2 linked regions of the Tribolium castaneum genome follow. The main gene of each other region encodes a partner of the protein of the gene in region 2 in a complex. Links are inferred from orthologs where the notes say so. Each region holds a gene or a part of one and is shown on either strand. Other genes may lie near its edges.

Region 1 (4,068 bases), on a different chromosome or scaffold from region 2:
ATTAGATAATTATGTGCGAAATACCACTTTCGAAGATAAGACCTCTGTGCCTTCTAATAAACGATTTAAACCGCACATTTACGAAATTTTATTTTGGCTTCACCAGCGACAAACAAATCATCAGTTAGATATTTAACAACTGTTTTTTTATTTGTTAAATGAAAAAAATGTTTCATCATTCTTTTGTTAGTTATTATAATAAGGCAATAAATTGACTTGAATATGATGGTTTAAGTAGTGATATCTAGTACAAAAACTGTGTAAATTTATTCAGAGATATAATTAAATTAAGGCACAGTCGCATAAAAAAAGAGCAAGAGATGTGTAATCTTTTTTTTCTGAAAGAAGCAATAAAATGGGAACGGTTCCATCTTATGGAAATTTAATGACCACTCAAATCCAATTTTTTTTATACCAATCGATAGCTTTTATCGAAATAATGAGCAATTCGTACCTTTGCAAACTTTGTAACTTTTTTAATAAAGGCAGAATTAATGATTGGAAAATTAAAAACGGTAAATGCAAATTGCATTGGAGCAAAAAAAAAACAGAGGAGGGGAAGTTTGAGAGTCTATAAGTCATCAAAGTTGGTTGTGGCTGTGAGGTTTTTTGATTTCAAAATTAAATAATTGTTTATGATGACGGGTTGTAGAAAAAATAAAATATGCAGCTCGCTTTTAATGGCCATGTTTTTAATATTTGGGCATAATTCAGTTGATTACAGTCCATTGTTATTTTGTAGAACATCGACGAATTTGCGTCTATGTTGGGCTACAGCACGAAACCAACCAACAACAATGGCACCTCCCCGATAAAACAGTTGCCGTTCAGCCCTTCACAGTTCTTCAACAGTCCTGGCTTTTTAGAGATGCCTTTATCCTCAACGCCCGTCAAGAGATTCCCGACGACACCATTGAAAGATCGATCGTTAAAACCTGTACGAAACATTCAACTCGTCTTCTGACCACAATATTTAATTTTTTTCTTATAGGACTACAGTCCCTTGAGCACCCCCAACGGTCTTTCAGTCAAGGTGGAAATGCTGAGTTCCACAACCGACCCAACGGTGACACCCAGCAAGCGCTCGTTCCAAAGTATGGACACGCCCCGTACCCCAACGCCCTTCAAGAAGGCCTTAGCCGACTTGGAGAAGAAGTCCGGCCCTATAACGCACCTCCCAGACACGCCAACTCGTCTGGAAGACATCACGGAAATCATGAAGAAGGACCAAGATATCAGTTCGAATTACGAAACCGACACCAGTCTGATGATTACAGTAATTTAGTCACAGTTTAATGTGGTGTTTTTTATTGATGTGTGCTTGACTTTTAGAATGATAGTGGTTACATGACGGGGAAGAGAAAAAATGGGAACGGGCTCGCTGAAGGCAAGGAAAACGTTCTTCCGAATAAGCGAGTGCGGAAGGCTTTGGCGCCGTCTTGGGCCTCCACCTCGTCGCAGGATATGTCGTCGTTCGCTGTGGAAACTCCCGTAAGTTGCGATTTTTGCGAATCAAATTTTCGACATTGTACTAATTGTCTGGTTTTAGAGTAAATCGTTGGGCGACGATCCCTCAGCTCTGTTCTCCACGCCGTCTTCGATAATGAAAGACTCTTTGGGAGTGACCGGACTGATGGATTTTGCTCAGTCAGGATCATCCAAGGTACATGGATGGTTTCATTTCGGAGATAATTTATTCCCCTCCTAATCCTGCCCCCTTTTTGTTGAGTTAACAATCCTGTACCTGTTCCCATGGTCCCTTATTAACATGTGTCTGGGATTAATCGCTTCGAAATTCTATTTTTCTTCGATTTTTAGGTCTAGGTTGTAGTTCTTTTTTTTTGTACATTTACTTGTTTTTATTTTTTATTGGCCACATTTTGTTTGGAAAATTTCTTAGTCTAGTGACAAAACCAATCTTGCATGTACCGTGAGTCGTACCTACACTTCACCTTCTAGTCTATGCCAACTTAAAAGTTGCGCATAAAGTCACCAAAGTCCATGATTACCATTCCTCTTTTTGTTCTTCAGTCAGCTTTTGCCATCGCACAGAGAACGCAAGTATTGTCACACTATCAGGGGCCGGTCGCGCTGACACAACCGACGGGGTTAAACCTCGGTCACGTGGTTATGTCGGCTGAGACTCGGAAATGTTCTTTAACAAGGCAACTGATTTATTATTATGACATTTGTGTCTTTAAATATTTATTTTGATTGTTAATTGTGTTGTTATTACGGTTTGAAGAAAATGCGAAGCATAAATGCAACAATGAACAAAGTTTAGCGTTACCAGAATAGTCACGCCCGGTTGTTTTTAATTATTACTAAGATATTGTGTAGATAGAGCACTTGAGTACTTAAGTAAGTAGTGTTGTTGCACAGAGAATCCACGCATTTTCTCCTAGTTTTTAAGAAATTAAGTTGCTCCTCTTTCGCGGGGGCTCTTTGGGGGTGTTAATGCTAGGCTTGGGGAATCAGCATGTGGTCGTTTGTGTGGTGGTATTGTAGCTTTTTTATCCTTGTCCCGGCAGCGCCTGCCATCTGCCAGTGCCCCCTCCCGCGCCCCTGGTCCACGAAGCACCGCCGCCAAGCGGATCACTTTTGAGGATACTAGGCCCAAAGCTCCAAAGGTGAGCACTCGCCCATTTCCCTCCCTCCACGTCCGCAAAGCGCCGCCTGATAGTAAGGTTCCGTTTTTCTTCCAGATCGAGAAGATGTGGGCCATGGTTGCGTGCGGCAAGACGCAGGACCAGATCGACCTTACTAAACGAGCACACAATTTTTTAAGAACTACCAGCTTGAAACCTCGTTCTTTAAATTTTTAAGAAAATTTTGTACATATGCGATTCGGTTTACACTTTGTAAATAGAATCTTTTTTACAAATAATTTAGTGCAAACGATTGTATTGTAGATTTGTCGGCTAAATTCAATAAAGCATCACCGGAGTGAGGTTTCGTTTACGGCTTCACTTTACTTCTTTTTAACTACGTGTAATGTATATAGACTTTTCACTGAGTAAATGAAACCTTACTGAACAAAAACCATGTATAGAACTAGTCTACCATTTTTCTTGTATAATTGTTTTCGTAATTATATCTTTTAATATATACAGTTATTAGAAAGGACGCCCAAAGGTTGAAGTTGTAATTTTATTGCCATGGTAGGTCTAGGTCTCTTTCTTGTTGTCCTTTGGGTTGTTTCGCTTATAAAGCATGCTTCAGTTTAATTTTTGCATCTATTTAAAGAATGTGTTTCTGAATTTATATTTATTTTATAATTTTATGTCACTAAATAAAATTGGTACTTTTGTAAGAATACACCGCATCGTTGTTTTTTTCCGCCCCGAACTAAACTTTTCGGAAGTGCCCCGTATTACATAACAGGAAAATCACCAGGTGGCAGCTGGTGTAGTTTTCCGATTGCGTTGGCACCCCTGCTTCAGATGTTTTATGTCAACTCCATGATCGGTACACAAGACGTTCCTAGAAGTGATTTTTGTGGTATTTTCTTAAATTAGAGCAACTTGGAGGCTAAAAAAGCATTAAAATTAGCGTTTTTGGTGCAGTATTGTTGTTGCGTGAGTGGATAGTGTGTCTAATCGTAGGAAAATCGCGAAACTCGCAAGGTCAGAACTAGTGGATAAATCAACATGACTTCATTCATCTCCGGAGTGCATTTGCAGTGAAATCGAGTTTTAGTGATATGGCAGACAGTAAACTGGCAAGCCCCCGTGCTGACACCGCTAGCCCGCCCCCACACTGTGCTATCTGCTTGGGGACGTGCAAAAACAAATGTCGGGCCAATTCCTGCATGCACGAATTTTGCTACAGTTGTTTGTTGGAATGGTCTAGAGTGAGTAAATTTGTAAGATTGCGACATTATTTTCATCGATTGTTCATGTATTTTCACTTGCTGATGGCCCGGTGCACTGAAATAAGAAGTACTACAGCTAGATTATAATTTATTTAGGTACAAAAAATTTCCAGCTCGCAAGAACGAAAAACCTTTAATAGTTTTTGAAAAGTCATCATAATCAGGATCATAGTCTTAAACCGCAATGATGACCT
Region 2 (4,004 bases):
TCTTGTCGCTGCTGTGTTCCAATACGACAGCAAATGGTACCGGGCTGAAGTGCTCAGTCTGAGTGACGATAACCCGCCCCAAGCTGAACTCTACTATGTTGATTACGGGGACACGGATTTGGTCCCCGTTGAGGAATTGTACGAGTTGAGGACCGATTTCCTCCGACTGCATTTTCAAGCAATTGAGTGTTTTCTAGCACGAGTTGGTACGATTATTTATTTATTTTTTTGGGCGTTTGGTGGGTAAGTGGGTTTTTAGATCCCGTGGGAGAGAGTTGGTCGGTGGAAGCCGTGGATAAATTCGAAGAGTGGACACATGTGGCGCAGTGGAAGAAACTGTCGGCGAAAATTAACGGATATTGTGTTAGGGAGAAGACGAGGGCGAAGCGCGAGGGCTCTCCGGTCCCCGGTGTTGATTTGTTCGATGTGAACGGTGAAAAGGACGTCGATATCGCACAAGAATTGGTTAATCAAGGGTTCGCTGTTTTTAAAAGAGACGTGGATTTGAGGCCGAGCAGTCGCGCCACGAGTGTTAGTAATATTAGTGTAGCTTCGAGTTCGTAGTTTTTTACCCAAATTTTTCGAAATAAATTTTTATCGCCCTGTTCCTCAAGTTACTTAATTCATTTTTACATTGCTCTTATTTTTATTTATTTTTACGTTTTAGGTGCAATTAATTATTTTTTTAATATTGAGTAACCCTTTTTTAAATTTTGAAAGTTTGTGCCTTAATGATTATCTTCAATATTGTGATCTTGCCCGAGATTCCATTTATATTTCGTTGAATAAACCCTCTTAAGTTACCTGAGTTTTTTTTTAACCTCCACCTCTGTAAGTAAACGTGCATTATTTAATAAATCCTAAAGTGTTAACTTGAGCTGAAAAATTAGTGAACCAGACTCAAGCTGCATACTCTATTTTTTCTACAACCTGATTATAAGTTATATTAAAAAAAATCACTGAAAATTAATTCAATTGTGAATTTTAAAGTTTTCGGTTCAACACACAATCGTGCTCATCGCTTTCAGTCGCATAATTTTTACTCCCTGTTGCCACGTTGGCTCTCAATTATATATTTTTTCCTTCTATTTTTTTAATAAAACATTGGAATACCATGACTATGAAGCATCGAGTTAGCTAAATCAAAACGTACCACCGCCAAAATTTTGGCCACGGTTTGCTTAATTTGAATCTGCTGACTTGTGGCGTTGTGGCACCACTGTTCCAAATTGGCGGGCTAGCGTCATATTTAGTGGACGGCTCATTCATTTTTACTTGAATTTATCAATTTTAACATTATTCGTTTGTGTTCGTTGTAACAATGGGGGATAAGGGAGACTCCGGTAAGTATTTTCTAGTTTGCCTCGCCAAAATCACGCTTTTTTTGTAACTTTGCGAACGTAACCTTAAAACCCGGTCAACTGCACAAAAAATCTTACACAGAAACCTTCGACGACGCGGTCGAGGAGCGAGTCATCAACGAAGAGTACAAGATCTGGAAAAAAAACACCCCTTTTTTGTACGACCTTGTAATGACACATGCCCTCGAGTGGCCCTCTTTAACCGCCCAGTGGCTGCCCGATGTAACGCGCCCCGAGGGCAAAGACCACTCCATCCACCGCCTAATCCTCGGCACTCACACCTCCGACGAGCAAAACCACCTCCTGATCGCCAGCGTCCAGCTCCCGAACGAAGACGCTCAGTTCGATGCCTCGCACTATGATAACGAAAAGGGCGAGTTTGGCGGTTTTGGCTCAGTTTCGGGGAAAATTGAGATTGAAATTAAAATCAACCACGAAGGAGAGGTGAACAGGGCTCGCTACATGCCCCAGAACCCGTGCGTTATAGCCACAAAAACCCCCTCAAGCGACGTGCTAGTGTTCGACTATACGAAGCACCCCAGCAAGCCTGACCCCAACGGGGAGTGCCACCCGGACCTGAGACTCCGGGGGCACCAGAAGGAGGGCTACGGGCTGTCCTGGAACCCCAACTTGAACGGCTATTTGCTCTCGGCCAGCGATGACCACACGATCTGTCTCTGGGACATTAACGCGACCCCGAAAGAGAACCGAATTATAGACGCGAAGACCATTTTTACGGGGCACACTGCCGTGGTGGAGGACGTCGCCTGGCACCTTCTGCACGAAAGTCTCTTCGGTTCGGTCGCAGACGACCAGAAATTGATGATTTGGGACACTAGGTGTAACAATACGAGCAAACCGTCGCACACTGTCGATGCACACACTGCTGAGGTTAACTGTCTCAGTTTCAACCCCTATTCGGAGTTTATTCTTGCAACTGGGAGCGCTGATAAGACTGTAGCTTTGTGGGATTTGAGGAATCTTAAGTTGAAATTGCACAGTTTTGAGTCGCACAAGGATGAGATTTTCCAAGTGCAGTGGAGCCCCCATAATGAGACTATTCTGGCGTCGTCGGGGACCGATCGCAGGCTGCATGTCTGGGATTTGAGCAAAATCGGAGAGGAGCAAAGTCCGGAGGATGCAGAGGATGGGCCTCCGGAGCTCCTCTTCATACATGGGGGCCACACGGCCAAAATTTCAGGTAAATTAATAATCTTTTTTGATATTTTTTTTTTTTTGTGTAAATAATCTTTAGTCGTATTTACTTAACGTTTTCGTAATTTTTATCAAAGTGTAATTAGCGTTTAATTTTTTTTCCTTAGATTTTAGTTGGAATCCCAACGAACCGTGGGTTATTTGTTCCGTGTCTGAGGATAATATTATGCAAGTGTGGCAAATGGCCGAGAATATTTATAACGATGAGGAGCCCGAGCAACAGGCCGATATGGAAACTCCAGCGAATTAGTCTAGTTTTTTTATTTATGTTTAGTTTTAGTGTTACCTGTAAGCATACCACGTTCTCGTTTCCTTTACTGAAGTAATTAAGTGAAAGTGTGACCATTTGTGTTTATCAAACTGAAACATTATGTTATCCACAATATTTTAAACATTTTTTACAAATAAATAAATACTTTGTCCAGAACACTTGTTTTATTTACAATCGTTCGAATTTTAATCATTTATTACCCGCTAACAGTCAACATTTCCGCCAAGTTTCATTAAAAAAATTTTATGACACAGGTCGAATAGAAATTGCATAAAAAATTATCTTCAATTCCTGATTTATAAATCAGGATTAAAAAGGCTTATTTACAAAAACACGAATTGTAAACGTAGTAATTTATTGAAAAATCTCATTTCGGGCCGGTAAAGTGGCTCTTGAGCCCTTGCCAGCACTGGTAGTACTCCGGGTCCAGCTTCTGGCACGTCTTAGCCCCCCACTTGGTGACAGCCAACCCCAAACAACTCTCAAACATGAAGGCCTGGGTCCCATCAGCCACTCTGGCCGGCTTCAAAACCTCGACACTTGCCGCCTCAAAACAATTAAAATCGGGCCCGTGCGGAGTCATAATACTGTGCAAAGTGGCCCCTCCTGGCCTAAAACTCCCTCTCTTCGCCTCATACTCCCCGAAAATAAGCCCCATAAACTCGGACATGCAATTCCTGTGGTAGTAAGGCGGCCTGAACGTATGTTCCTGAACGGACCAACGCGGCGGGAAAATCACGAAATCGGCAATTGCCGTGCCCTTTTTCTCAGACTGACACGTCAGGACGGTGAAAATCGAGGGGTCACAGTGGTCGAAAGACACCGAATTGATGACATTAAAGCGGGCAAGGTCGTACTTATACGGCACGTAATTACCGTGCCAGGCCACCACGTCAAACGGGCTGTGGTCTTGTTCACACACAAACAATTTGCCCTGGTATTTGGCCACGACTTCGTATTTTGCGACATTACGATCCTCGTAACATGCCACAGGAGTGAGAAAATCGCGGGGGTTGGCCAAACCATTCGCCCCAATTGGGCCCAAATCGGGGAGAGTGAAGTGTTGCCCGAACACCTCCAAAATGTAACCACGGGACGGTTCCTCAATTTCGACCGAAAATCGCATCCCTTGCTGGATGACGCAGATTTCGTTCGGC

The links. Proteins that work in one complex are often made in the same cells at the same time.
Region 1: Caf1-55 (region 2) and Myb share a complex: the UniProt entries of both Drosophila melanogaster proteins name them as parts of the DREAM complex. The link is inferred for Tribolium castaneum from reciprocal best matches to the Drosophila melanogaster genes Caf1-55 and Myb.

The regions. Positions count from the first base shown.
Region 1 is NC_087396.1:14,748,569-14,752,636, forward strand, and holds the end of Myb (myb-related protein B), read left to right. Parts: intron 1-742; coding exon 743-937; intron 938-991; coding exon 992-1,276; intron 1,277-1,332; coding exon 1,333-1,491; intron 1,492-1,549; coding exon 1,550-1,663; intron 1,664-2,531; coding exon 2,532-2,630; intron 2,631-2,705; coding exon 2,706-2,825; 3' UTR 2,826-3,318; downstream 3,319-4,068. Other genes in the region: E3 ubiquitin-protein ligase Topors, read left to right, coding at 3,704-3,853. UniProt on the Drosophila melanogaster protein: DNA-binding protein that specifically recognizes the sequence 5'-YAAC[GT]G-3'. Component of the DREAM complex, a multiprotein complex that can both act as a transcription activator or repressor depending on the context.
Region 2 is NC_087399.1:661,835-665,838, reverse strand, and holds Caf1-55 (histone-binding protein RBBP4), read left to right. Parts: upstream 1-1,183; 5' UTR 1,184-1,321; coding exon 1,322-1,343; intron 1,344-1,443; coding exon 1,444-2,562; intron 2,563-2,683; coding exon 2,684-2,826; 3' UTR 2,827-3,003; downstream 3,004-4,004. Other genes in the region: tudor and KH domain-containing protein homolog, read left to right, coding at 1-206, 260-564; hgo (homogentisate 1,2-dioxygenase), read right to left, coding at 3,215-4,004. UniProt on the Drosophila melanogaster protein: Core histone-binding subunit that may target chromatin assembly factors, chromatin remodeling factors and histone deacetylases to their histone substrates in a manner that is regulated by nucleosomal DNA.